Arabidopsis thaliana: one gene and its partner. The protein of the gene in region 1 interacts with the protein of each later gene in a pairwise test. Each region holds a gene or a part of one and is shown on either strand. Other genes may lie near its edges.

The links.
Region 2: the proteins of RPK1 (region 1) and YSL3 interact in a protein complementation assay, tested with the Arabidopsis thaliana proteins (one large-scale study listed by BioGRID).

Annotation. Positions count from the first base shown.
Region 1 is NC_003070.9:26,036,944-26,048,424, forward strand, and holds RPK1 (receptor-like protein kinase 1), read right to left. Parts: upstream 5,760-11,481; 5' UTR 5,557-5,759; coding exon 3,934-5,556; 3' UTR 3,746-3,933; downstream 1-3,745. Other genes in the region: AFP1 (ABI five binding protein), read left to right, coding at 2,371-3,046, 3,266-3,627; AT1G69280 (uncharacterized protein), read right to left, coding at 8,347-8,446, 8,542-8,829, 8,913-9,727; AT1G69290 (Pentatricopeptide repeat (PPR) superfamily protein), read right to left, coding at 10,429-11,481. UniProt on the Arabidopsis thaliana protein: Involved in the main abscisic acid-mediated (ABA) signaling pathway and in early ABA perception.
Region 2 is NC_003076.8:21,749,314-21,762,607, reverse strand, and holds YSL3 (YELLOW STRIPE like 3), read right to left. Parts: upstream 7,358-13,294; 5' UTR 6,883-7,357; exon of another isoform or gene 6,785-6,882; 5' UTR 6,705-6,784; intron 6,616-6,704; exon of another isoform or gene 6,591-6,615; 5' UTR 6,528-6,590; coding exon 6,155-6,527; exon of another isoform or gene 6,060-6,154; coding exon 5,884-6,059; intron 5,650-5,883; coding exon 5,552-5,649; intron 5,463-5,551; coding exon 5,328-5,462; intron 5,244-5,327; coding exon 5,054-5,243; intron 4,966-5,053; coding exon 4,848-4,965; intron 4,770-4,847; coding exon 3,832-4,769; 3' UTR 3,675-3,831; downstream 1-3,674. Other genes in the region: AT5G53570 (Ypt/Rab-GAP domain of gyp1p superfamily protein), read left to right, coding at 11-143, 232-281, 370-423, 511-1,684; CB5-E (cytochrome B5), read right to left, coding at 2,255-2,505, 2,594-2,660, 2,894-2,980; AT5G53540 (P-loop containing nucleoside triphosphate hydrolases superfamily protein), read left to right, coding at 11,509-11,715, 11,799-12,099, 12,167-12,325, 12,409-12,704, 12,799-13,047. UniProt on the Arabidopsis thaliana protein: May be involved in the lateral transport of nicotianamine-chelated metals in the vasculature.

The DNA of each region.
Region 1 (11,481 bases):
GCTCTTTCAGCGGTGATGGCTAGCTCACGGTGTTAATCCGGCGTAGTTCGGTTTTCTTTTCCTTTTGGTTTATATCACGGTTACGTTTCGACCGTTGATTGTCTTTAGATCAGAATTCATTGGGTATGTGTGTTGGTGATGGCGTTGGTTTTCAGTCCAAGCTTGCTTAATTAGATCTAATTCCAACCTATCCTTTGAGTTTAAGGTTTACGGATAATAATTAGGCAGTTTGCGTTTTTGAGATGAAGATTCAAAGCTCTTTCCTCAGCTTATTATGATTGCCTTTAGCTGTATCTCTTATATTCAAGCTTCGATTGGGTCTAAGTAACAGAGGTGGTTAATCGAAGATCTTTTTTCTCTTTTGAGATTAATAGATCCGTATTAGATCCTTACTTCTGTTTTGTAGTTGTTGGAAAAATTCAGATGAAGCTAATCTTCGAGTTTCATTCGACTTAGTTTCAGTTTCCGGCAGAATCGATGGCTTCACGGCGAAGGATGATAGATGGAAAACTTTCGTCTCCTCAGGTTACATGTGTATTCGATGCTAACACGTGTCTGAGATATATTAGCTTGATCCAATCTTCTTCTCTAAATGTAATGTTGGGCCAGTTGGACTTAAAATAGTCTCTGTAAACCGTTTTATGTTGTTGGGCTTTTGCTCGTTCGTTGTATGTTATGTTCATCTTAATAAAATCGTCACTTGTGAAAAAAATAAAATGACTCTGGCCTTTCTAGTTTCTACAATTAGACTCTCTCTACTCAATAATTTATAATCTGGTTCAAAAGGATCCTCTGAGTGTAAAAGCATGATTCACGTTCTAACATGTAGATGATTTGGGAATAATACAACAAGTGTGGATCGGAGGATGTTATTAGACACGCAAGAGGATCCACACACCCACTAGGACACGTGTTTACAAGTCCGAGCTCTGACATGCTTCACGTTCCCGCGACAGTTCGTTGTCACCGTGTAAGAGGAGGTCTCTCAGATCTCTGAGCTGGCCGGGGAGGACCACGTACCTTACCCGTTAGCCAATTGGTAACACTTACGATTATAAAATAAATTACTTTGTTATGATAAAAATAATATTGGTTCATGCGATGAAGATATATCACGTTCGATTAAGGTTACAGAGGAAATTGAATTTTCAAGAATTGATTCTTTTTTTGTTTGTCAATATATAATTTGGATATCTAGATTTGCCATGGAATATAAAATCATTAATTTGAGTTTGGAGGAGGACGTCGACAGAAAAAAAACTAACTATTAATAATTTTGAGTTCCTCCATTTTGAGTTGTCAAGTAAATATGAAGTCTTATTTTATAACAATCAGTTGAAACTATTACTAATTGAATACTTGGTCGATTATCAATGATTTTAATTTAATTTCTCTCAAAATAGACACATTATTTCTATTTTGAAAAGAATAGAACCAATCATGAATAACAACACACTATAGAACAAGTTATAAAAATGATAAATACGTATTGGAATGTTTACGCATTGTAGGACCTGAGACAAAGAACCATAAGCCCATTCCTCTGAACTTAAACCGAAACAGAGCAACACGTGTCTCCTCCGACACATGTCACCTTCTCCGTTTTTAACGCTGATGCTAACACGTAACTTGCCAGCGAATATTATAACAATTTATTTCATAATAAGAAAAAACTGAATTCTGTTTTTTTAAATACTAGTAGTAGGAGCAAAGAAAGAAGCAATAATAGTGGCAAAAAGTAAGGAGACAAAGAAATTAAAATAAAAAAATACAAAGCCGTACAAAAAACGTGTCGACTCGAGGGATCATCTGATTGCCACTTGGCACTTTTCACACATTGGCTATTCTCGTCGCTTTCTTTTCTTCTACGTGCCCAAAACCCAACATTTATTTTATTCTTACTCAACTTTATTTTATTAATTTTCCTCAACAACATAATAATTAATTAATTAATAGATAAACTTTTTTATATTATTTTTTTGATATAGGAAAGAATCTAATTTGATTACAATTCCATTTTTTGGTGAATATTTTTAAGAGTAAATAGAAAATAATAATTACAGGGATTTCGTTTTTAATTGTACATGTTAATGATGAAGAACTAAATAAGGTATTGTCAAGTAAATGGTAGTGAATATTCCGACTTGTGCTCAAATTTGAGTTCTCTTTCTCTGTCTCATCCATTTAAACTTTTTTTTCTTCTGTCTCCCCCATTTGTAATCAATAGTAACGAAACGTGTCTCGTCAATTTTTGTCAATGGACTAAAGAGAAACTTTTTTTTCAGTTCTTGTGAAAATATTGGATTATTATGGATCGTGGCATAAAAATCTGATTACTGTTTCATAAGCTTCCAGTATTCTTTTTTGTTAATGGCGGAAGCAAACGAGAGAAGTAAAGAAATGGCGAGAAGTAATAGTTGTGTGTTTCCAAGAGATCTGCTTCAGAGATTTATCTCTAACTCTGTTGAAGGTGAAGATGATGATGAAGAAGAAGATGATGATGAGATCGAGTTAAATCTTGGCTTATCTCTTGGTGGAAGATTTGGTGTTGATAAGAGTAATAAGCTTGTGAGATCTTCTTCCGTTGTTGTAACGATGCCTCTGTTTCGTGAAGATCATCATCATCATCAAGCGGCGGCGATGATAACAACTAAGGTTTCGACGGAGACGGTGGCGGGAGCGACTCGGGGTACGGGTTTGATGAGAACGACGTCGTTGCCGGCAGAGTCGGAGGAAGAGTGGAGGAAGAGGAAAGAGATGCAGACTTTGAGAAGAATGGCAGCCAAGAGACGGAGAAGCGAGAAGCTTCGTACTGGCGTCGGCGGAGGAAACAGTAATAATCCGGAAGAAGCTGCTACTGCCACCGCTTCGAGACGGCGAGGTAGACCATCGTCAGGACTTCCACGGTGGTCAGCGACTGCTAACAAAAGCGGGCTTTTGCGGCAGCACAGTGCTGGTCTCGATTCACTACAAGTTTCCGGTGAATCTCTAGGCGGAGGAAGAGCCGCCGGAAGTTCTTCGAGCGTCTCCGAGTTGGAAACTAAAGGTATAGTACTAATCTCTCTAATCTGCTCAATCATTAACATGAATCTTTTAAATTTGTTGAAACTTGAGTTAAAAGTAATTTGATGTAACATATCATTTAGATTACTTTTGCTAGATAGCTTAATGCAAAGTTTTCGCCTTTTCGCAACCCGAAAGGTCGTTTAATATTGATAATGGATCAATGTTACTTAATGAACATGTAATGTTTTGGTGAATACAGCGTCCAGTGACGAAGCAAGAAGCTTACCATCAACTACACAGCCACAACAAGAAACAACGACAAAGCCAACAAATCGTTTGAGAAGATTGAGTTCAGTGGACATGAACATGAAGATGGAGCCACAAGGGAAAGGAAAAAGTGAGATGCCATGTGTGTTTACCAAAGGAGATGGACCAAATGGGAAGAGAGTTGATGGGATTCTTTATAGATACGGCAGTGGAGAAGAAGTTAGGATCATGTGTGTTTGCCATGGCGATTTCTTGTCTCCGGCGGATTTCGTTAAACATGCCGGTGGTCCTCATGTAGATCATCCTCTTAGACACATTGTTGTCAACACTTCTTCTCCTTCTAATCTCTTATAATAGACCAAAAACCCTCTAACCAACCCTTGTTTAGAGAAGATGTTTTTAAGAGTCTCTGGTCATTTCTCAATTTTTAAGTCATATATGTATTTTTTACCTGCTTTATACAGAGAGAATTAAGGAGAAAGAAACATCATTTATATCAGTTTTCAAGAGAGTAGACTGAGAATAACATTTTGATGATGCATATGAAAAACCTCCCTAGCACTGAAAATATAAAAAACAGACTTGAGAAAGATTCTAATGGCTAGGCACTTGTTTGCTGCTGTACAAATCCTCTAAAAACACCTTTCTTCTAGCTTTGTATCACAATCTAGAAGGCTGGATTCGTTTCAGCAGTCTTACAGCTTGTTTCATTGTCGGCCTTATCGAGAGGCTATCGACGGTGCATTTGAGTGCCAAATGCAGAACCTCGACCAAATCGTCTGGAGGACCAGTCTCCCATAGTCCTGTGGTGAAGACTTCTTTCGCTTTGCCTTGACTCAACATCATATGAGCCCACGAGACAATGTTGAACCCGTTCTCATGCGATGAGAAAGAAGGATCCAGAGCTCGTTTGTCCGATATCAGCTCCAAGAGGACTATCCCATAGCTGTAAACATCTGCTTTCTCCGAGACTCGGCATGTCATTGCGTACTCTGGAGCTACATATCCGAATGTTCCAGCCACACCAGTTGTGACATGAGACTGCGAAGTTCCCAAGAGTTTCGAGAGTCCGAAATCAGATAGATAAGCGTTGTAGTTGTTGTCCAAGAGTATGTTACTCGGTTTGATATCTCTATGCAAGACTTTAGGAGAACACTGTTCGTGAAGATAGGAGAGAGCACGCGCTACATCAAGAGCAATCTTGTGAAGTACCTTCCACTCAATAGCAGCTTTCGATCTCTCTTTAATGAAATCTTGAAGGTTTCCTCCAGATAAGTAGTTGTAAATAAGAAACATCTCGGTTTCGCTCGCATGGTAACCGATTAACATAACAAGATTCGGATGCCTAACCATCTCAAGAGCAGAGATCTCAGCATGAAACTGTTGATCACCTTGAAACCTCCCAACAGAGAGTCTTTTAACAGCAAACACATTCGTTGGAGACACCTCTGCTTTATAAGTCGAACCGAAACCGCCGTGACCGATACAGTTAGAGTTACTAAAGTAACCAGTAGCTCTAACAATGATCTCATACGTCAGAGGAATACCAATGTCAACAAACACTTTAATCTCCTTGATCTCATCTACCTGAACCTGAGAGTTTCGTTTCCATTTCCTCGTGTAGATGAACAAGATCACAAGAACAAGAAGCACAAAGACAATCACTGAAGCTGACACAATAGAAGCTATCTCAATCGGATACAATCCAGATTTACCAGGAGAATCATCATCAGCTGAGCTTGGACCAATTTCATCTTCATCCTCAAAACTCATAAGTTTCCTAAGAACAACATTATCAACAACCCTAATTCCACCGATAAAGTTGTTACCTTTAAGATCAAGAATCTCTAATTTCTCCAACCCCCAAATCTCCTTTGGAATCTCACCTCTAAGATCATTAAAAGACAGAGATAAAACCCTAATTTCAGACAAATCTCCAACAACAGGAGAGATTACACCACCAAGTCTTCTTTTACTTGAAGAACAAGAAGACAAATCTGGGAGATGAAGAACACCACTACCTTCAAGCTCATCACAGCCTCTGAGAATTAAAGAAACGACTCTCGAATCAGAGTTGCAAGAGACACCGTACCAAGAACAATGGTTTGATGAGCTGTCGGAAACCCAGCTAGACAGAACTCCATTTGGATCCAAGAAACTACTCTTCAACTTCAACAGAGCAGCTTCGTCGTGGAGACCACCACCACTCTCGGTTAAAAGTTTCCGAGAAAACGAAAACATAAACAGATTAAACAGCAAGAAGACCAAACCCAGAAGTTTCATTTTTCTTCTTTTTCTTCACAAGAGAAAGAGAAAGAGACGACGGCAAAATGAACAAAGAAAATCAACAAAACCCTAAAATAAATCTCTTTTTTCACAAATTTTTTTGATCTCTCCCTCTCTCTCTCTCTTCCTTCGCTCTCGAAATCGAAAATTTTCAAGTTGCAAAAGAAGAAAGTTTCTTTACTCAAAAAGAAAATGACATTAAACAAACAATTTTTTTTCTATGGCTCTATTATCAAGACACATAATAAATTTAAAAAAAGTTCTTAAACGTATTGGAAACAGTCAAAGAAGAATGAATTTCGAGGAAAAGAGGAAAAAAAGAAAGAAAAAAATCTCTCAGCTTTTCTAACTTTTCTTCTTTTTTTTTCTCCGTCCTTAAATTATTGAAATTTCAAAACATGCTAGTGAAAAAATTACTTAGATATTATCCATTAGAATTATATAAAAAATTATTTTAACTTTTTCTTATTTATTTCTAAAATTGTCGCTTGTATTTGTGAGAGATAAATAGGATAGTGTTTCACTTTCAGCGGTGTCTCTCTCGGGTTCTGTCGTTAAAATTTTGTCGTTGTCAGAGAGACTTTATAGAAGAGTGGGACCCAGTGAAGTCAATGTCTGAATGTATTAATGTAAGAGAGAGAGAGAAGTGAAAGACCACATGGCTGCTTCTGGTTTGACCAGGCGGGATAGGTCGTGGGACCTGCACTAGTCTCTTTATTGGTCCATGATTAGATTCCAAAATCGTTTCTTTCATAACGATTCATTTTTATTTAAGTTAGACGTGTATTCCTCTGTGTATCATCGTCATTATGACGTTACATTTTGCGTCAGAAATACATATATGGTCCAAATGTTTTTGTTCTTTTTGTTTATATCACACGACTCCTTTATGTCCATATTTTAGAATTGTAACCGTTGATGCCTTTAACCAAATTGAGTACTAGAAGAAGAAACTAGCTAAAGTACGATTTCGCTTTACAAAGAAAAGGAATCACAGTTGTACTTGTGCAGATCTTATATCAAGAAAAAGAATCTTGTAATGTGTTCAATATCTTTCTTTTTTTCACCAATGTGTTCAATATCTTATCATATGTTTTGCACATAATAAATAAAAATGTTAACATATGCAATGGGTAAGAACATCTAACAAATTTTGGGACATTTTGTACAGTAATTATAACAAAAATGAAAAAAATAACATCTAACAAAAAGTGGATCTAGAATTTTTTTAGCTGAAAATAAATGATCTTTTCATTAATGAGATGTAAACAAGTGTAATAATTTACTAAAGATAACAAAATATTAGACAAGAAACGTGATTTTGTATTGACGTACAGTACAGTACGTTTATCTGGAAGCACGAATGAATAGAAAATAAAACGTTACAAAAATACAGTTTATTGTGAAAAGTTGTAATATATAACAAAAACATAACTTATTTTTATTGTTTAAAAGTGTTTATTCTTAAAAAATTAACATGTGAAAAATGTATAATAAAGACTCACACATCTCATTGATTATTTTCTGTTAATCTGCTAATTTATATACCACTTTAATTGTAAATTAATATATTGTCAAATATCTTGAAATATAGTAATGATGCCGTTCTTTAGAATTCCGATCATTTTGAAACACTTGACAAAAACATGGACCTTTAGGAGTAGTAGAAAGAAATATAGTTTGCAATATTAATAAGAAAATGTGTGATTTAGTAAAAATAAATGATTTGTGTTAATGCCGTTGAAAGATTTAATTATAAGTTTATAACCTATGATGAAACTCACTAATTTCATGTTATTGTCAATAAAATAATTATATGTACAAAGTTCCAAAACAAGGAGTTATATAAAGATACATAGCTCATTTTACACATATATAAAATCTAGTTATTAATTCCTTCTAAATGACAAGGCAAAAAAAATGATAAGTGTCAATATTTTTTATTTTTCTATTGAATTTGTAAATATATAGATTAATACCGTAATAATAGAAATCAGATCTATAGGGAAAACTGTTAAAACAGTAATGAGATGGGAAGAATTACACACATTTTCACGTTTTGCCGACAATTTAGTGTTAATACTTCTTACATATATTTTGTTTATATTAGCCAACAAAGTCAAATTGATTATTCCTTTCTCCTTTTGACAAATCAAGTTGATTACTTCTAGCTAAATCTTTTTTTTACTTGAGAAGTTAAAACACTTACATATCTAAGATGTCGACGTGCATTCAAATATACATCAACCTCAATGGATGATCTATGTTGTTTTTACACATATTTACCACAAGATAAATGACTATGCATGTGACCTTTAATCTTTATTAAACCTTTTGTTTCCGATAATTAAAGTGTAGCAACTCCTTTCTCCTTTTGACATATCAAGTTGATAACTAATAATAGCTTATATAAAATTTTACTTGATAAAATAAAACACTTCTATCTAAACTCTCGACGGCCAATGAAAGAAATATAAAATCAATGGGTAAATCTATGTTGAATTTTGTTTGATATTCATCTACCATAAGATTTGTGAATATTGTGACTTCAGACCTAATCTTTATTTAAACCTTATAATGCTAATACTATTTTCAAACTTCACCTGACTTGATGATGATAACAGAAAAACTATATTGTTTTTTTTTTTTTTTTTTTTGGGTAACTGCTCTCAATAGGCAAGAAACTTTTACATTTGTAAAATCTATTTTTTTTTACCTTTAGCTAAAGATTAAAACAGAGTTGCGTAAGAATCTAATCTAAAGTTAAGAAGAAGAGCAACAAGGAAATCAACAAAACCATTGATGAGATGTTTTAAACTCTGCTTTTTGCAGTCTCTGTTCGTCATTCCCTCTAGTCATCTCATCATCTACTACCTTCTTTGAAGAACTGTAGCAACACAAAGAAAACTCGGGTAGGCTTTTCGATTGAAACAATCACAGATTAAAGAAGACCAATGTGAGAATCCGGAAGTAGCGATCTACCTGGAACAGCAACAGCAACTCCAACAGCTCCAATGGCAGCAGAAGAGCCAGCCACAAGAAGAATTGTAATCACAACTTGGCCATCTGCACCAGGAGAAGCACGGGCAACATTTTAACCGTTTGCAGCAAAAGAAGTTGTAACCACAACTTGGCAATCTGCAGCAGGAGAAACAAGGTCCAGTGTTCTTGCAACACAACCAAGAACATCGCTTCTTCTGCTTCTGCTGTTGCTGCTGCTGTGTCATCTTCTTCTTTGTTGCTTTCTTTTTCTTCTTCTTCTTTTTCGTTCTTCATGAAAAGAACAATTAATCAAAAATAAAGTTTTTGAAGACTACTACAATGAGATGATGGTATAAAGTAACGAAGCTCACATTGGATATGAAAATGACTGTGTGCTGCTTGGTGTTTCGTCTGAGTTATTGCAATCTCCGATGTTCCTCCACGATACATTTGAGTTCGATGACTTATCCTCACATTCGCCACTCGCTTTGTCCTCCATATCAAAGCTCTTTCCTAGATCAGAAGAATCAGCCGGACCATGAATAGCAGGGCAGAACGATAACAGCTCTCCCGATTTTGTAATCTCTCCAGACTTGAAATCACGGTAACTAAACAACTCATCTCTTGCTATCGTGTTATCACCTATGCTGAGACTAAACAGAGAATCATTTGAAAGTGTGCTCAAATTCTTCTCCAAGGTAGGTAACGAGTTTCTCTCAGGTTGATCAGATCCTTCTCTATCCATCATTTGAATCGAAGGAGATAAAAGCAAAGGCTCCACTGAAGCATTCGTTACACCAGACACTTGTGACCCTGGTGTGTCTGATGAACCTTGTAACTCGAATAATTTAGAAGACAGGCTAAAGAGCTCCTTATTGTGTAGGCTACTATCGAAAGATAAGTTTGATTTCCTTCCTTTTGCATTGATCTCGTGTATATCCTCTGAAGAGGTTGGAGACAAGGAAAGAGATGTGGATCTTCTGGTGGTGATCTCTGGATCTTCCTCGAGACGAACATCACTGACCCCATAACTAGCAATGCTCCCCAATTGGAACAAAACCGGCTTCTCATCATTCACTTCTTTGATCGTTGGTCTTGGCTCAAAACTCTTATTATTATCTGATTTTCTATGCTTCTTTAGATGATAAGCCTTTCTATTTTTTCCTTTCTTGTGATTCGTTTCCATAGCTAAAAGAAACAATGAAAACTTACATAAGCTACATCGTAGAGTGATTCAACGAACCAATCAGATGTAAAGCAGCATAAAGAAAAATGATATAGTAAAACAGAGGACTTACTTATACCTATGAATATCCATGTAAAGTTCCAATGAACCTTAGCTCTTCGAACCTTATACTTTACCCGCAATGGCCCCCTCTGTTAGTAATCTTCTCTTCACGATTCTTCTCTGTCTATAAACCAAAATGAAACTTAATACAATTTTGAGAAATGAAACCAAATGAACAAACAACAGAAATATAATGATGAACTCATGAAGGTTTAATAAATAAAGGCAACGAACCTCCGATATAGGAAACTGTAAAATCTATCCTTGATATTAGATTGAAGCAATGAGCAATTCATAAAACAAACACACGAAAAGGGCAAATCCTTTCAAAAGTTTGAAGAAAATTGAAAGAAATAATTCATTTGGTCTTTCTTTTTTGTTTTGCCTGAAGATTTCTATAAACCAAAGGCATTCCTACAATTTAGGGATTGACTAGTCTTAAATCTATATTGGCTGCTTTTGGCGCCATCTTTTTTTAACTAAAAACTCTCCTATCTGACGCTTTCTATTAATAGCAATGCCAAGTGTCACAACACCAAAAAGAGACGACAATACATCAATGATAGAGATGTCTTTGGCTTGTGTCCTGAAAGCTTGTATCATGTGTTGAGACCAGCCCAGTTCTTGAAGGCAACAAGAGATTCCATTTTCTTGTAGTTCCTCTTCCTCAGCTTTGGCAATCTGAGTTTCTTGTGAGTCTCCATGAACGCTTGCTTATACCTCCACTTATCCACAAATATCTTCATCTCCTGAGATTTCTCTACCACTTGCATCGCTGCATCAAAGAATCCTCCTTTCACCAATGCGTACAAGAATGCATCGACTAGAGCATGATCTAGTCTGGACCTCTTCTCTGCCTCCACCGACGATATCTTACCTTTAATCTCGTTCCACAAGAGCAGGACGTTAAAGTACTTTTCCCCGCTCACATATCCATTAATCAAAGATAAGTATGTCTGGTTGTTTGGCTCATAACGTAGGAAAACCATCCTTCTGAATGTCCTCCGTGCATCTTCCAGACGCCCGGATTTACAAAAGGCATGAATAATCGAATTCCAATCATGGGAATTCACTTCAACACGAGGGTCTTCAACAACTTCGTCTAGAAACGCTGCCATTAACTCAGGTCTCTGGTTCTCAAGAAGACCTGTCATTATTGTTAAGTAACTCCCCTTCAAATCCACCACTCTATTTTCTCTCATATCCCTAAACAATGTAAACGCAGATATAAAATCCTGATTCGTCATGGAAGCTTCGATCAAAGCGTTAGAGATCTCGACGTCTAATTGAAGCCCAGAGCTGCTGATCTCTGTAACCAGCTGAGTAGCTTCAGCTGTTCTGTACTCTTTGCAATAAGCTTTTAAGATTGGCACATAAACCCCAATCCCTACAGATCCTCCTCCCTGAGCAATCATTTCCTCGAGAATACTATGTGCTTTATCCGAGAAACCAAGATTTACACAAGCATTTATGATTCCAAACCCAACTGAACTGTCAACACCAACGTAAGAAGATTCCAACTTCTGAGCTTCGAGTATCACTTTCGCTAAACTCTTAACGCTTTTACTCTCTATAAACCCTTTAACCAATTCACAATACGTTTCCACACTGAAACTCGATTCCTCTCCACCTTCTTTAAGACTATGCAATAT
Region 2 (13,294 bases), on another chromosome or scaffold:
TTGTTTATAGCCGGCGGAAATCACCGTGGTCTCGCCGGAAAAGAAAATGGGCATTGACGCCACATCAATGGAGGAGTTTATTTACACCGGAGGGAAAACTCCGTGATGGTGGAGTTGGATTCCTGAAGAAAGTTAGAAGCAGAGTGAGTCTTTTGAACAAGGACCATATGTATGTCTTGTTTCTTACTTGTCTCTTTACTGGTTCTGATTTATGTTCTTATGGTTCTGTAGGGTGTTGATCCAAGTATTCGTGCAGAAGTGTGGCTGTTCTTACTCGGAGTGTGAGTGTTTGTTCTTGTTTTGACTTTATGGTCTTGGTTATTTTTATTCACTCTGTTGAGATTCTCAACTTGTTTTCTCTTATGGCAGTTATGATTTGAATAGTACTAGTGAAGAAAGAGAAGCAGTGAAAACTCAAAAAAGGTTAGTATTTAGTTTGATCTATATATAGTCAATGTTTGTATTTAGATGCTGATAGATAATTTCATTGTTGGGATCTTTGAATTGTAGGAAGGAGTATGAGAAACTACAGAGACGATGTCAGATGCTTCTCAAGTGCGGTAATGGAAGTACCGATAATCTTGAGGAGCTTCCATCTGATGAGGCAAACAGTCAATGTGTTCGGTTCGTGGATGATTATAAGATTACAGGACCAATGACAAGTCAAGATGTTGTTTCTGCTTTGAACACTGATTCTTCTGATACAGACTCTTGTGAAGATAATGAAGATGTTTTACTACTCTCATCTTTTGCACACAGCGATGAAAAAAAGCCGGAGGAGGATAATAGTAATAACAATTCTGAAGAGAATAGTTCTCTTCTTGTAGCTGCTGCTTCTGAGGTCCAAGTAGAAGTTGCGGTACACGAAGATTTCTCTACGTGGCAACGTATCATCCGGCTTGATGCTTTACGAGCGGATTCTGAATGGGCAAATTATTCTCCATATTCAACAGCAATCACAGAAAGCAAAGCTCGCAGGTTAGCCGAATCTGTCGGGTTAAAAGACTATGATCACTTAGAAAGCTGCAGGCTATACCACGCAGCACGGTTAGTTGCAATTCTTGAAGCTTATGCTATGTATGATCCTGAGATAGGCTACTGTCAAGGAATGAGTGATCTGTTATCTCCAATCCTCGCTGTGATCTCAGAGGATCACGAGGCTTTCTGGTGCTTTGTTGGTTTCATGAAGAAAGCTCGGCACAATTTCAGGCTTGACGAAGCAGGGATTCAAAGACAGCTAAGCATTGTATCAAAGATCATAAAAAATAAAGACTCTCAGCTTTATAAACACTTGGAGAATCTTCAAGCAGAAGATTGTAGTTTCGTTTACAGGATGGTGCTTGTTATGTTTAGGAGGGAGTTGAGTTTTGAACAGACGCTGTGTCTCTGGGAAGTGATGTGGGCTGATCAAGCTGCCATTAGAGCTGGAGTTGGGAAGTCGCCATGGAGCAGAATCCGGCAACAAGCACCGCCAACGGATGATTTGTTGCTCTATGCAATCGCGGCGTTAGTACTACGTAGGAAACTGATCATACAGAAATACAGTAGTATGGATGAGATTGTGGAAGAGTGTAATAGCATGGCTGGTCAGCTTAATGTCTGGAAGCTTCTTGATGATGCCCATCATCTTGTCGTGACGCTTCACGACAAGATTGAAACTCTTTCTCAATCACAGAGTATTTGATGAAGAAGTCGATCAAAGCCAGAAATGAAGTGTTTCCACTACACAAAAGCCCTTGCACTCGTCTGGCTGCGTTTTCTCAAGGTTTAAAGTTTGTTGCGGTTTGGTTCTTACCGTTTTCACTCCTCTCTTTCTTTCTTCTTTCTTTTTGTTTACTCATCACACAGAGAAAACACAATACTACTATCCTTATCGCTTTTATTGTAGTACTAATGAAAAAGACAAGGCAATATTCTTGTTAAAATGTAACGGATGAGTCTGAAACTGTCATTTCCACAATTGTATGAAACATATTTGTTCAATTGTAGAAATCCAGTTTCTCACTTCTTTATCAAGCAGCTTAAGTTTGGGCAAATCAAGCAGTCTTTTATTATATCATCAAAGTCGAAAACACTGTCATCATAAACTCAACACAGTAAAACTAGTAGCAACACAATGATTTTTGGTTCGTAATTTCAACAAGAATCAGTCTAAGACCAAACAACAGTAACAGTACTTTTTTTCGCAAGAGAGATAGACAGAGATCGGTAGAGATATTCAATGACAAGCATCAAAGCAAGCCTTTGGCTTCTTCTAGTCTTTCTTGGTATAGTGACGGACGACAAGAGCCAATCCCAAGATCAAGATCGGAACAAGGAACTGAAGAATCTTGATAATGAATTCTGGTGTCTTGTCTTGGTTGTAGGCTGGTTGCTGTGGTGCAACGTATGTCCTAGTTGCTGGAACACTAGACGAATCAATCTCACCAATGAAATATTTGTCCATCATGTCCCTTGCAGTGTCGCTGTGACCAACGTCTTCAAAATCATTTGTAGCATCTTTCCCTGCAAACAAAACACCACATCAGAACAGAAACAGTCACCGAGCCGCTTCAAATCCGCCTTGAATCAGAGAGAAACACAAGTTTTATACCTGTTGAGGACAACAAGACTTCATCGCCTCCAGGATGATCATCCATGAATGGAGTCACATCATACACCTAAAGAACGCAACAATCACAGATCATAACCAAGTAGTAGACACAAACTCTGTTTCTCTAGTGTGAATTAACATAGAATCAACTAAATCTACGAGGGGCTCGATTAAAGCTTCTAACAGTAACAATCCAACTCTACAACTTTAAAATCGAAGCTTTGACACAAATCAATGGCGGAAGAGAACTAAGTTCGTCAAAAAACAGAGATGTTCTCAAACAAAGAGACAAGATCTAACCTTGCCGGAAATAATAAGCCAACAATCCTTAGTTTTGTTGTGCTTTGAAACTTCTTCAAAACTTAGAACCTTCCGATCTGAAGACATCTTCACTCAAACTGCAAAACAAGAACACATCAAAGCTACTAATCAAAATTTCTGATAATACAGAGTACTAGATACAGATTCAAATCGAAATCATCAGAACGATGATGAATGAACGAATATACTAATTCCCTTATCGATTTTTGGAAAAAGATGGGATCTTTACCCTTTCAGATTCAGAATTTTCGATAGCTCCGAAGCTCAGAAATCAGCAGAAGACGGAAGAAATAGAGGTTCCTCACCTACTTAATTGTGTTCAATATAAACAAAATACGAAACTACCCTCGATATTTTGCTTAGGGTTTGGATGAGCAGGGGTAGTTTTGGTCAAGTTGGGCTTTGACTTTAAACAAATCAAATTGGGCTTTGTGCAAATCAAATTAAAATTTGGTTTCCATTTTTGACGAGATTTTATTTTGGTCCACGTTTGGTACTTTGAAAAATACAAATATGACGTGTGCTGAATTGACAAAAAAAAAAACAGACACATAAAGTGTGATCTAACAACGTTTAGCAGATTTCAAAGAAAGAAATAAATCTTAAAATAGAAGAATCTTGCCTTTTGTCAGTAAAAACATATACCAATTTAACCGTATTTTTATCACTATTTTGGCAAATATCTTCTGGAATTTAATTCCATTTGACCTTATTCTAAAATATTGAGTTTCTTTTTGGGGAGAAGTTACTTGGGACATGGATTTTTAAATAGAATTGAGAGACTAGTTTATTACTTTATTGTGTATACAAACTTACAAAGTACAATTCCTATATAAACTGTTTTTTTTGTTTCCACAATTCTTTAGCTAATTTTTTTGTCGCTACACAAAAAAGTAAAAACTCGTAAAAAGCTATCTTTAACTCGAATATTTACTCGGCATGAAGCCCATACATATAGGAGGTCTAACGCCGGCCAAAGCAAGAACCGACGACGGCAAAATCCATAGACCATCTCCACATATCAAACCGGAAGCAACCGCCGGTACCATTAAACCGGCTTTAACTCGATCTCTCATATTCCAAGCAAACACAATCAAACTTCCCACACACATATCAATAGCAAAGTACCCTCCAACAAGAAACGGAACCGCCATTGCCATCGGTAATGGAACCCAATTCCCTATCTTATCCGGTAACCTATCCCTAACGAGATTTGCCGCCACCGCGAATGCGAAAAACCCGTAACAAAGCTGTAAACAATGTTGAGGCAAAGCAGAGAAACCTTCAACTCCAAGAATTGCCATGTTTCTGTATACCAAAGCGTAAGGAGCTTTGTACTCTCCCTCCTGGTTCCCGACATCGAAAGCTTTATAAAACAAGAAGAAAGTTAGAGGCGCCACAACGCATCCGATCGCTGTACCGATCGCTTGACTCACAAGCATCGACCTAGGTGAAGTCAGAGTCAAATGTCCTGTCTTGAAATCGTGCATTAGGTCAGAAGAAATCGATACAATCGATTTTATCAACCCGCATCCGACAAGTCCCGCGACTACACCATTTTGTTTCCCTGCCATAGCGGCTAAGATAAACAGAGCGACTTTACCATAGTTATAAGCCATGTTCATATCTGTTAGCCCTGCTCCATAAGCGTTACTGAAACCTAACGATGGAGCTAACATGTAAGCTACGACTATGAAGTACCATTTCAGCTCGGGGAACATTATAGGGATCGCGATGATCGAGACAACAGAGAACGCTGCGTATCCTACTGCTGCAACCCATAATGGAATGCTGTCTCTTACAAAGATCTCATCTCTTTTAAGATCTGCAATAGATTGCTTATCTTTCTCCGAATCTGCGATTTACGTTTGAACATCAGATAATACATTATTGAAATGACGATTTTTCTATAGTTTTTTTGGTGTATACTTACTAGATTTCCCAGAGTTGCGATTGTTTAACTTGACGTACATGTTTATTCCTGTCTTAAAAAGTATCTTGATGAATTGGTAAAGCCCGTCTCCGAGGATCAATGAGATTGATATAAACACCTAAAGAGTTATGAACAAATTAAGAACGAAAGTACGCGAAAGAAAGGGCGGAGTTTATTGTAGAGTACTAGTGTTTTTTGTATGGAACCTTGTAACCATTGAGACTCTTCATGCTGTTTTCAGGAAGAGTTGATGGGAACCAATCTCCTTTAAGACCTTTAATGAGTGGCCACATGATTCCCCAAGACAGAACCGCGCCAAAAAGCAAAGATATATTGACAATATGGGGACAGATCATTCCTGCTCCAACGTATGTCATGCTAAAGTCGAAGTAGAATCTGTCAAGTTTTTTCAAGATCATCAAGATTCTGTTTCTATCTGTTGATATATAAACAGTCAATAGAACTAAGAATAATACTCACGTGTTCTTCAAAGCTTCTAACCCGAAAGTTGGAAACTGAATGAAACCGCACTCTGTACCACCAGAGAAGAACCATTGGAAGAAAGCCCAAATGAAGCTAAATGAGAAGTACTTCACAAACCCAAACACTTGTTTCCTGCATATAAACAGATTTTATTTAAATCAAAAACTCTAGAATTAGTGGTGAAAGAGAGCTAAGAGACTGCCAAAAAATCGAGTTAATACTTGGCCATTTTATTGCCTTTAGGAGTGTGGAAACCGTTGATCAAAACCGCGGTAGCTGTTCCACTTGGATATGTCAGCTTGTAGTCTATGATCATGATCTGGTTAACCAAAAAAAGAAGCATAATGAACACTTAGCAATGTAGACCCAAACCAGCCAACAGGGGATTAATAGTCCAAACTTGGCCAATATTAATCTCCGTCCTATGTTGGCTATAGCGGGTTTGGCCAGGCCCATATCACACTTATATGGGCCGGACTGACCCGCAAACTTTGGCCTACCGCAACATCTCTAACTACAAATTCAATGAGACAGAATCTTAAATAATCTCTACCTTTCTTAGAGGAACCAATGCTAAAAGACCAACAAAGCAAGTAAAGAACAAGAAAGCGGTCATCCAACCGATTCCAGGCTCTTTCGTGCCTTCCGGATAATTCCCATCAGTGTGAGTTCCTCCTGACTGTTCATAAGTAATTCTGTTCAAACCAAGAAGGTATGAACCAAACCCACCTGCAAATCACACAAACACATAGCTCAAAACAATGATCCAACCCCAAACAAAAACTGATCAAACAGTCAAAACAACTGGTCAAAATTCACTGAACCTCCAACTGCAATGCTGTAACAAGCAACAGCACATGTTTGGACAACAGTGTTCTCTTGTTTAGTGAACGGTTTAGTCACAATCCCGGCTTTGGTCAACAGCTTGGTCCAGCTTCTAAGGAAGACAAAGGCTAAAAGTGCTGCAGAGACATTTAGGTTTGGGACCAAACCTGTTGTTAGGTTTAGTTTCATCACGATCACACTGTAGATTATACCAATGATTAAACTTGCAACAATTCCTCTGAAAGTGATTTGTTCCTTCCATGGAGGTATTGACTTGAAATCATCTCCTTCGTTTTGCGTCTCTTCCAAGTCATCTATTACTTCTCTTTCTATCTCATTCCTTCCCTCTCTCTCCATCATCATACTCCTCATTTTTTTCCAAGAACAGAACAAAAAAACAGAGTTTCTTCTTCTTGATTATCTTTTTTGACAATACTGAAAAAACAAAAATTTGTCAAAACAAAAACCCAAAAGACAGATTCTTTTAATAATTAAATATCAATCAAAAGCTTACTTTTATGGAAAATGACGAGAGGAAAAAAATGGTACCTCTTTTTGGATCAATTGATTCTGGGAATTTTATATAAAGTTTAGAATTTTTCTTGCTTTCCACTCCCAAGCATAATTATCTGAAGAAGAAGAAGAAGAAGAAAAAGAAACAGTTGCTTAGCAAATGAGAAAAAGGAAAACTAGAGATTATTTTAATCAAGTGCATAATCTTTATAACCATAGAATAATGACGCAAGTTATCTCTTATGTTCAGAGATCTAATTAAAAGAATTAGAAAAAAGTTAATGACTCAAGAATCTGCCATTAATCTCTTTTGCTTCAAACACTTTTTTTTCTTTCTGAAATCTGTAGTAAACGTAAGAAAAGAAGAGAATGAAACGTAACTGGTTAATGAAACAGGGACACACACACGAAGACCACACTCCCGTTTCCCAAAGAGATAAAAGAAAAAAAACATTGAATGCTTACACGAAACGAAGACCAAAGAATAGCTAAAAATGGTATAGTTGATTTTTTAAAAATGGACTTTGGTGAGACTACTCAAAGTTATATAGAGAAGTAGAGATGAAGAAGAAAGCTTAAAACCAAGAAGAATTTATTTATGGGATCTTGGGTTCTTATGTACCGCACGTTGACTTGATATCAGTACTACACAAAGAAAAAAGAAAAGAGAAAAGAGTTTTGGGGTTTATGTAGTACAATAATCATTAAGGGGTTAAACTTTATAAAAGTTACGTCACCGAAAAGAAAAAAAGTAGGGTAACAATTAATTATTAAGAATATACTCCACATATATAACCTTCATATATCTCACTAAGAAAGTTATATAATTTATGGATGTATAACTAAATGTCACATACGAAAAATCAAACTTTATAAGTTTGTCAAACACATGACTATTCAACCATTAGATTAGTATGTAGAGGAACAAATGTCATTATCTCTCATAAATATATAACAATTAGGAGTTTAGGTGATGAAATAAGATTAGGAGTCAAATAGTTAGTAAAATTACACTTGAAATGATTTATTCGTAACTTTAGATTTGTGTTTTGGTTAGACTTAGATATAAATTATGAATGTATTTCTATTTCTAAATATTTTTTCCATTAAAATCAGTTCATCCATAATTAAGTTTTTTTTTGTTCTAATTATAAGAGATGGTTAACTTATAACTAGTTACAGATTACAATATCAAAAGTCTTTTAAAAGTCATAAATATGATATCATAACTAATTAACCTTTTATAGTATTAAAATACATGTTTAACTCAATGAATCTGGTGACATTCATGTGAAACTGAAAAAGTGAAAAGTTTGGTAAACCGAGATTCCGGTTCATGTGACTGTCTTTTACTAAACAAGATGATGACATTATGGACAATCTTATGCCATAACTATCCTCTTTATTTTATTGACCACATGATTAATATTAAAGCCAAAATATGGAAACATAACTCTCCATAATGTGAATAATAATTAAAATTTTCTTAGGTAGTCAATCAAGAAAATGGTAAATGTCAACTCCATACCATGTGGTCACAAACATACCAAAACCCCAAAAGAAAATTAAAGTCGAATAAATTATTCAATAAGTTCGACTTTTGATTCTTTACGTCAACACGTCAAATTCATAAGTAGAATTGGACTATTATATTCGGACGTTTCCTGGCCGAATTTGGTGCGTTATATTACACCAATCCTGCGTGATAGGATAAGATCAGATCAAACCAATTAAACCATTTTTTGCCAAGAACATACGAATGAATTTGCATTTTTGAAAACCAAGACTTGTTTAAGACTGAATTTTATAAGATCGTTCCCAACCTATTTCAATCGGCCAGAAATATGTTCAATTTAATGCATTGGTTGATAAAGTTGAATAAACTACTGTAACAGCCGTTGGTTCAAAATAATTTTGTTCACATTATAGTATTTAATGTAGTGTTGACTAGAGTTGGGGTAGTAACTGGTAAGTACCACTAGCTAGCTAGTTATGAAGTGAACGTGTTACAATTCTCTCGTATATTAGATTTTTATTTTCTTACATCGTCCTTCCTTAAACTAAATGATATGTAGTAGTATCATTTAGATCTCTATATGAAGGAAATGGAACTAAAACTGTTAACACGGAAATTGTGTGAATACAAACCACTAGACAATAACTTTCGAATGTCTCGTAGTCGTAGGCATATATATACATGATCGAATATTAATGTGTCCTCGTATGCTAAGTAGATATTACGAGGCCCTATGGAGAAGAAAAAGAGAATAATACTACTCTCTTTTGTACGAACTTTACTTTTCTTTTCCTATATTTTTTTTAAAAATATGTAATTCACTTCTTCCATGCATTCCTTTGAATAATTATTTATGACTTTTTTACAACATTTATGAGGTACTGCATCTGAGAATTACCTATTTTTAACATTGGATTCAACTGATGGTGTTAAGTGTGAGAAAGCAAGATCAACCATATGACTATCTATCTATAACCAAGATTTACTAATTACGTCCTAACCTTCTCAGCTTGACCATGCCTATCTTCATAGCTAGACCTCTCGGTGGATCCTTTCTAATGATTGAAAGTATGATCTTACCCAAGTTCAGTTCATGTTTGATCAATTGACTCTTTTAAGTCTACCCAATTTTTGTCTTCGCCTCTTGGGAATATTGGACCTTCACATCTAAATTATAGTTCACTTTATGCCAAACGATACGCACCAAGCAACTATGATTTGGTATAAAATGGCACTTTCAGTTATTTTCATACGATACTTTTTTACACACCAGTTATTGAAGAATAAAACATGTCATTTTCATTTTCTATCGTATTTATATTGATATTAGCATTGTGAGAGATTTGAATTCAACATATAGTAAATTCTGTAAGAATGTATGGACCACTATTCTACTTATTTTTCACAGTGTAATATTTATTTAGCTTCAACGAATTTGACAAAATATATTATCAACTTGCTCGGTTTATTTATTCATATCTTATCACAAAGTACTTTTGTCATTCAATATCCCTACATGTCCCAGTTCCGTCTGGATATATGTATTTTAGCAGCCATCAATGTATTTTTGTAAACTAAAAACTAAAAAGGAGTCTAATTTTTTTTTTCCTAAACCATTTTCCATCGATCTTATAATATTCGTTATTTTGGTCAGTCTCCCAAATTATTTAGTCTTATTATTTATTTATTAAAAAAATATTAGACTATTTGATAATGGAAGGCCAAACTAAAAAAGTTGTAAGATATTATATAGTTAGGTCTACATTTTTAAAAAATTCATCGATCAATCCATTTCGCAGTTCTCAAAGACTCAAATGTCATACAGTTGTCTATAGTCAACATTCTTAATATTCTAGTGGATAATAATGCATCCCCAACTATATATGTGTTTGGTTTGAGATATATAAAGCATAAAAATGGAATATCAGAACCCAAACATAAAGTGACAAATGACAAGTGGAAGGCTAAGAACTTGGTGCTCTTTTTTATTTGTTTCAAACAAATTTAGCGTTTCGAATGGTAACAACATGCATGATCAACATCTCTGTTTCTTTTTCTTTTCTGGTGAATAAATGATAAAACATGGTGGATGCGGTTGAGAAGAAACGCAATTTTGAAGTCAGTGTATTGTTCACAACCTTGCTTGTTTGCTGATTCTCACGTGGTCTTTTAGATCTGCGTTTGTCTAACGCGCTCTTTCTCGGAAAGCCACGTGCATTTTGATTCCCATGCCAAAACCACTTTCTGATCATCATTGATGGCGCTTTTGTATTCGATATTTTAATCCATTTGGTAAGTTTAAAAGATAAACATTCGATGTATGTAGAAAGAGAAGAAATAAAAATATCAAATGGATGAAAAATATTGAACACCAAACGCCTTTTTTTATTCTAGGCCACCTGCTTGGCTGCTTCTTGTGTAAGTGCACGTATTTTTTTCATGGTTCTATTGTTATTGAAATACAATAAAAGTCATCGAGTCTCTCATCCTCTTAATTTTGTTTGTCTAAATTTCTACGATGATATGTGGTCACAAAAAATTTCATACTCCGTTACGAGAATTTCTTTAACTAGCGGAAAATGTTTAACTGTACAAGATTGACGAAAAAAAAGTTTATCTCCATATGAAATTCCTCACGATCAAAGTAAAAGAAGTTGAATAATCCATAGAGATATAGTCATGACGAGGAGAACATTATTTTACGTTTTGGATTTGATTTGTGATATATTAATTTAGTTTGAAGTTGACGTGTTAGATGCATGCTAAGGTCAAATCTCTTACATATATCATTCAATGACTCTTTCACTTCCATTATAGTACGAAAAAGAGTGCACGGGAGATGAAACAACGAAACGTGTAAGGATAACTCGATAAACACTCTTGCACTTGTAGTAGCTATAGTATGTCTTGCATCTTATCTAGAAATAAATAATTGTGTAGTGAGTATTGAATAATAGATATATAAAGGAATTAAGGAAATACTACAGAGACTATTTTTCAGGAGTCGACTTTTTCCAAATGCTACTTTTGTAACAAAAACAGAATTCACAAAATCTTATAATATTAGAAATTGGGCTTTCGAAGGGCTTTAAATTTCAGATCCATTGGCGAAACACCACACAAGGCCTATTAAGCCAGTTCCAAAACAATTACCAATATGCACACAATTCTCAACGATATTACGATAATGCCACCAACTGTTCTTTTCCTGTAATTTCCAGTTTAGAGCTTTCTTCTTCCTTTCCCTATCCTCAACCCCAAACGAACGCTCTTCAAGAATTAGGGTTTCGTTTTGAATCTTCTCTGATTCCCAAATCCAAAGATATGAAGAGATCTTCAGGGAGAAAGGATTCAAATTTCATAGAACAATTGATACTTTACGTCGCTAGTGCTGCATTGAGTAGCTTGGTTCTCTACGTTGGTCTCCGTCAACTTGACCCGAACCGTGACGCCGCTAAAAAGTCTCTCGAGCACAAAAGAGAAATCGCCAAACGTTTGGGTCGTCCTCTTATTCAAACCAATCAATACGAGGTAATTTTGATTCTATACAGTTCTCTAATTGATTGAATTCGTATTCAAAATCCAATCTTTTCAATTGTTTATTGTGAAAACAGGATGTGATTGCGTGTGATGTAATAAACCCATTACACATAGATGTTGAATTTGGTTCTATTGGAGGATTGGAGTCAATTAAGCAAGCTTTGTATGAGCTTGTGATTCTACCATTGAAAAGACCTGAGCTTTTTGCTTATGGGAAGTTACTGGGTCCTCAAAAGGGTGTTTTGTTGTATGGTCCTCCTGGAACTGGGAAGACTATGCTTGCTAAAGCGATTGCGAGAGAGTCTGAAGCTGTTTTTATTAATGTAAAGGTTTCTAATTTGATGAGCAAGTGGTTTGGTGATGCACAGAAGCTTGGTAGGTGTAGATTTGGAGATTACATTACCTGTCTATTGGTTGTGTTACTGATTTATGTTTTCTTCAGTGTCTGCTGTGTTTAGCTTGGCGTATAAACTCCAACCTGCTATTATTTTTATCGATGAGGTGGATAGCTTTCTTGGCCAGCGACGGTCGACTGATAATGAAGCAATGTCGAATATGAAGACCGAGTTTATGGCTTTATGGGATGGATTTACTACAGACCGTGAGTTGAAATTCTTGTCCTCATTGTTCTGTTTAGCCATGTGAACTATGTACAGTCTGAGGTTTGATGTTTTGGTTTTATAGAGAATGCGAGGGTGATGGTTCTTGCTGCAACTAACAGACCATCAGAGCTCGATGAAGCGATATTGAGGCGTTTTCCTCAGTCATTTGAGATCGGGATGCCTGATTGCCAGGAGAGAGCGCAAATATTGAAAGTTGTTTTGAAAGGAGAGAGTGTTGAATCAGATATTAACTATGATCGTATAGCTCGTTTATGTGAGGACTATACCGGATCAGATATTTTTGAACTCTGCAAAAAAGCAGCTTACTTCCCAATCCGAGAAATCCTAGAGGCAGAGAAAGAGGGCAAACGAGTTTCTGTAAGTGATAAACCGTTTTTTAGGGAATGTCAATGTTCCCTTCATCCACCTGATTTTTAAGTAATGACATCTTTGAGTTACCTACATTTCACAGGTTCCTAGACCATTGACACAACTGGACTTGGAGAAGGTTCTTGCTACCTCAAAGAAGACACAAGTTGCTGCAAGCGAGTACACTGGTTTAAGCTCTCAATCTTCTGTCTGGGGAAGTCCAAGCAATGCCGATGAGGTCCAAGCAGCTATAAACGGCATCTCCAAGCTTTTTGTCTCGCAGCTTAGAAACATTCAGCCAGATTCTCAGGATTCATATCAACAACATCCTTCAGAAGGAGATTCGGAATAGAAGCAAACTCTTCACTAGAGCTTCGTATAGTCCAAAAAGAGTACAACCCAAGAATATACACTTTTTGTAAACCTCATATTTCTCTGAATAAGTTGGAGCATTGTTGCCGTAAGATGTTTTTAGAAAATTTAATTCATGTCTCGTTCAAGCAATGATCTATACATTTACCAATTTGGTTTTCTTCAAATTTTGAATAAAAATGTTAGCTTTTCTTTTTCTTCTTTGTAAAAATGACATCTTTAGAATG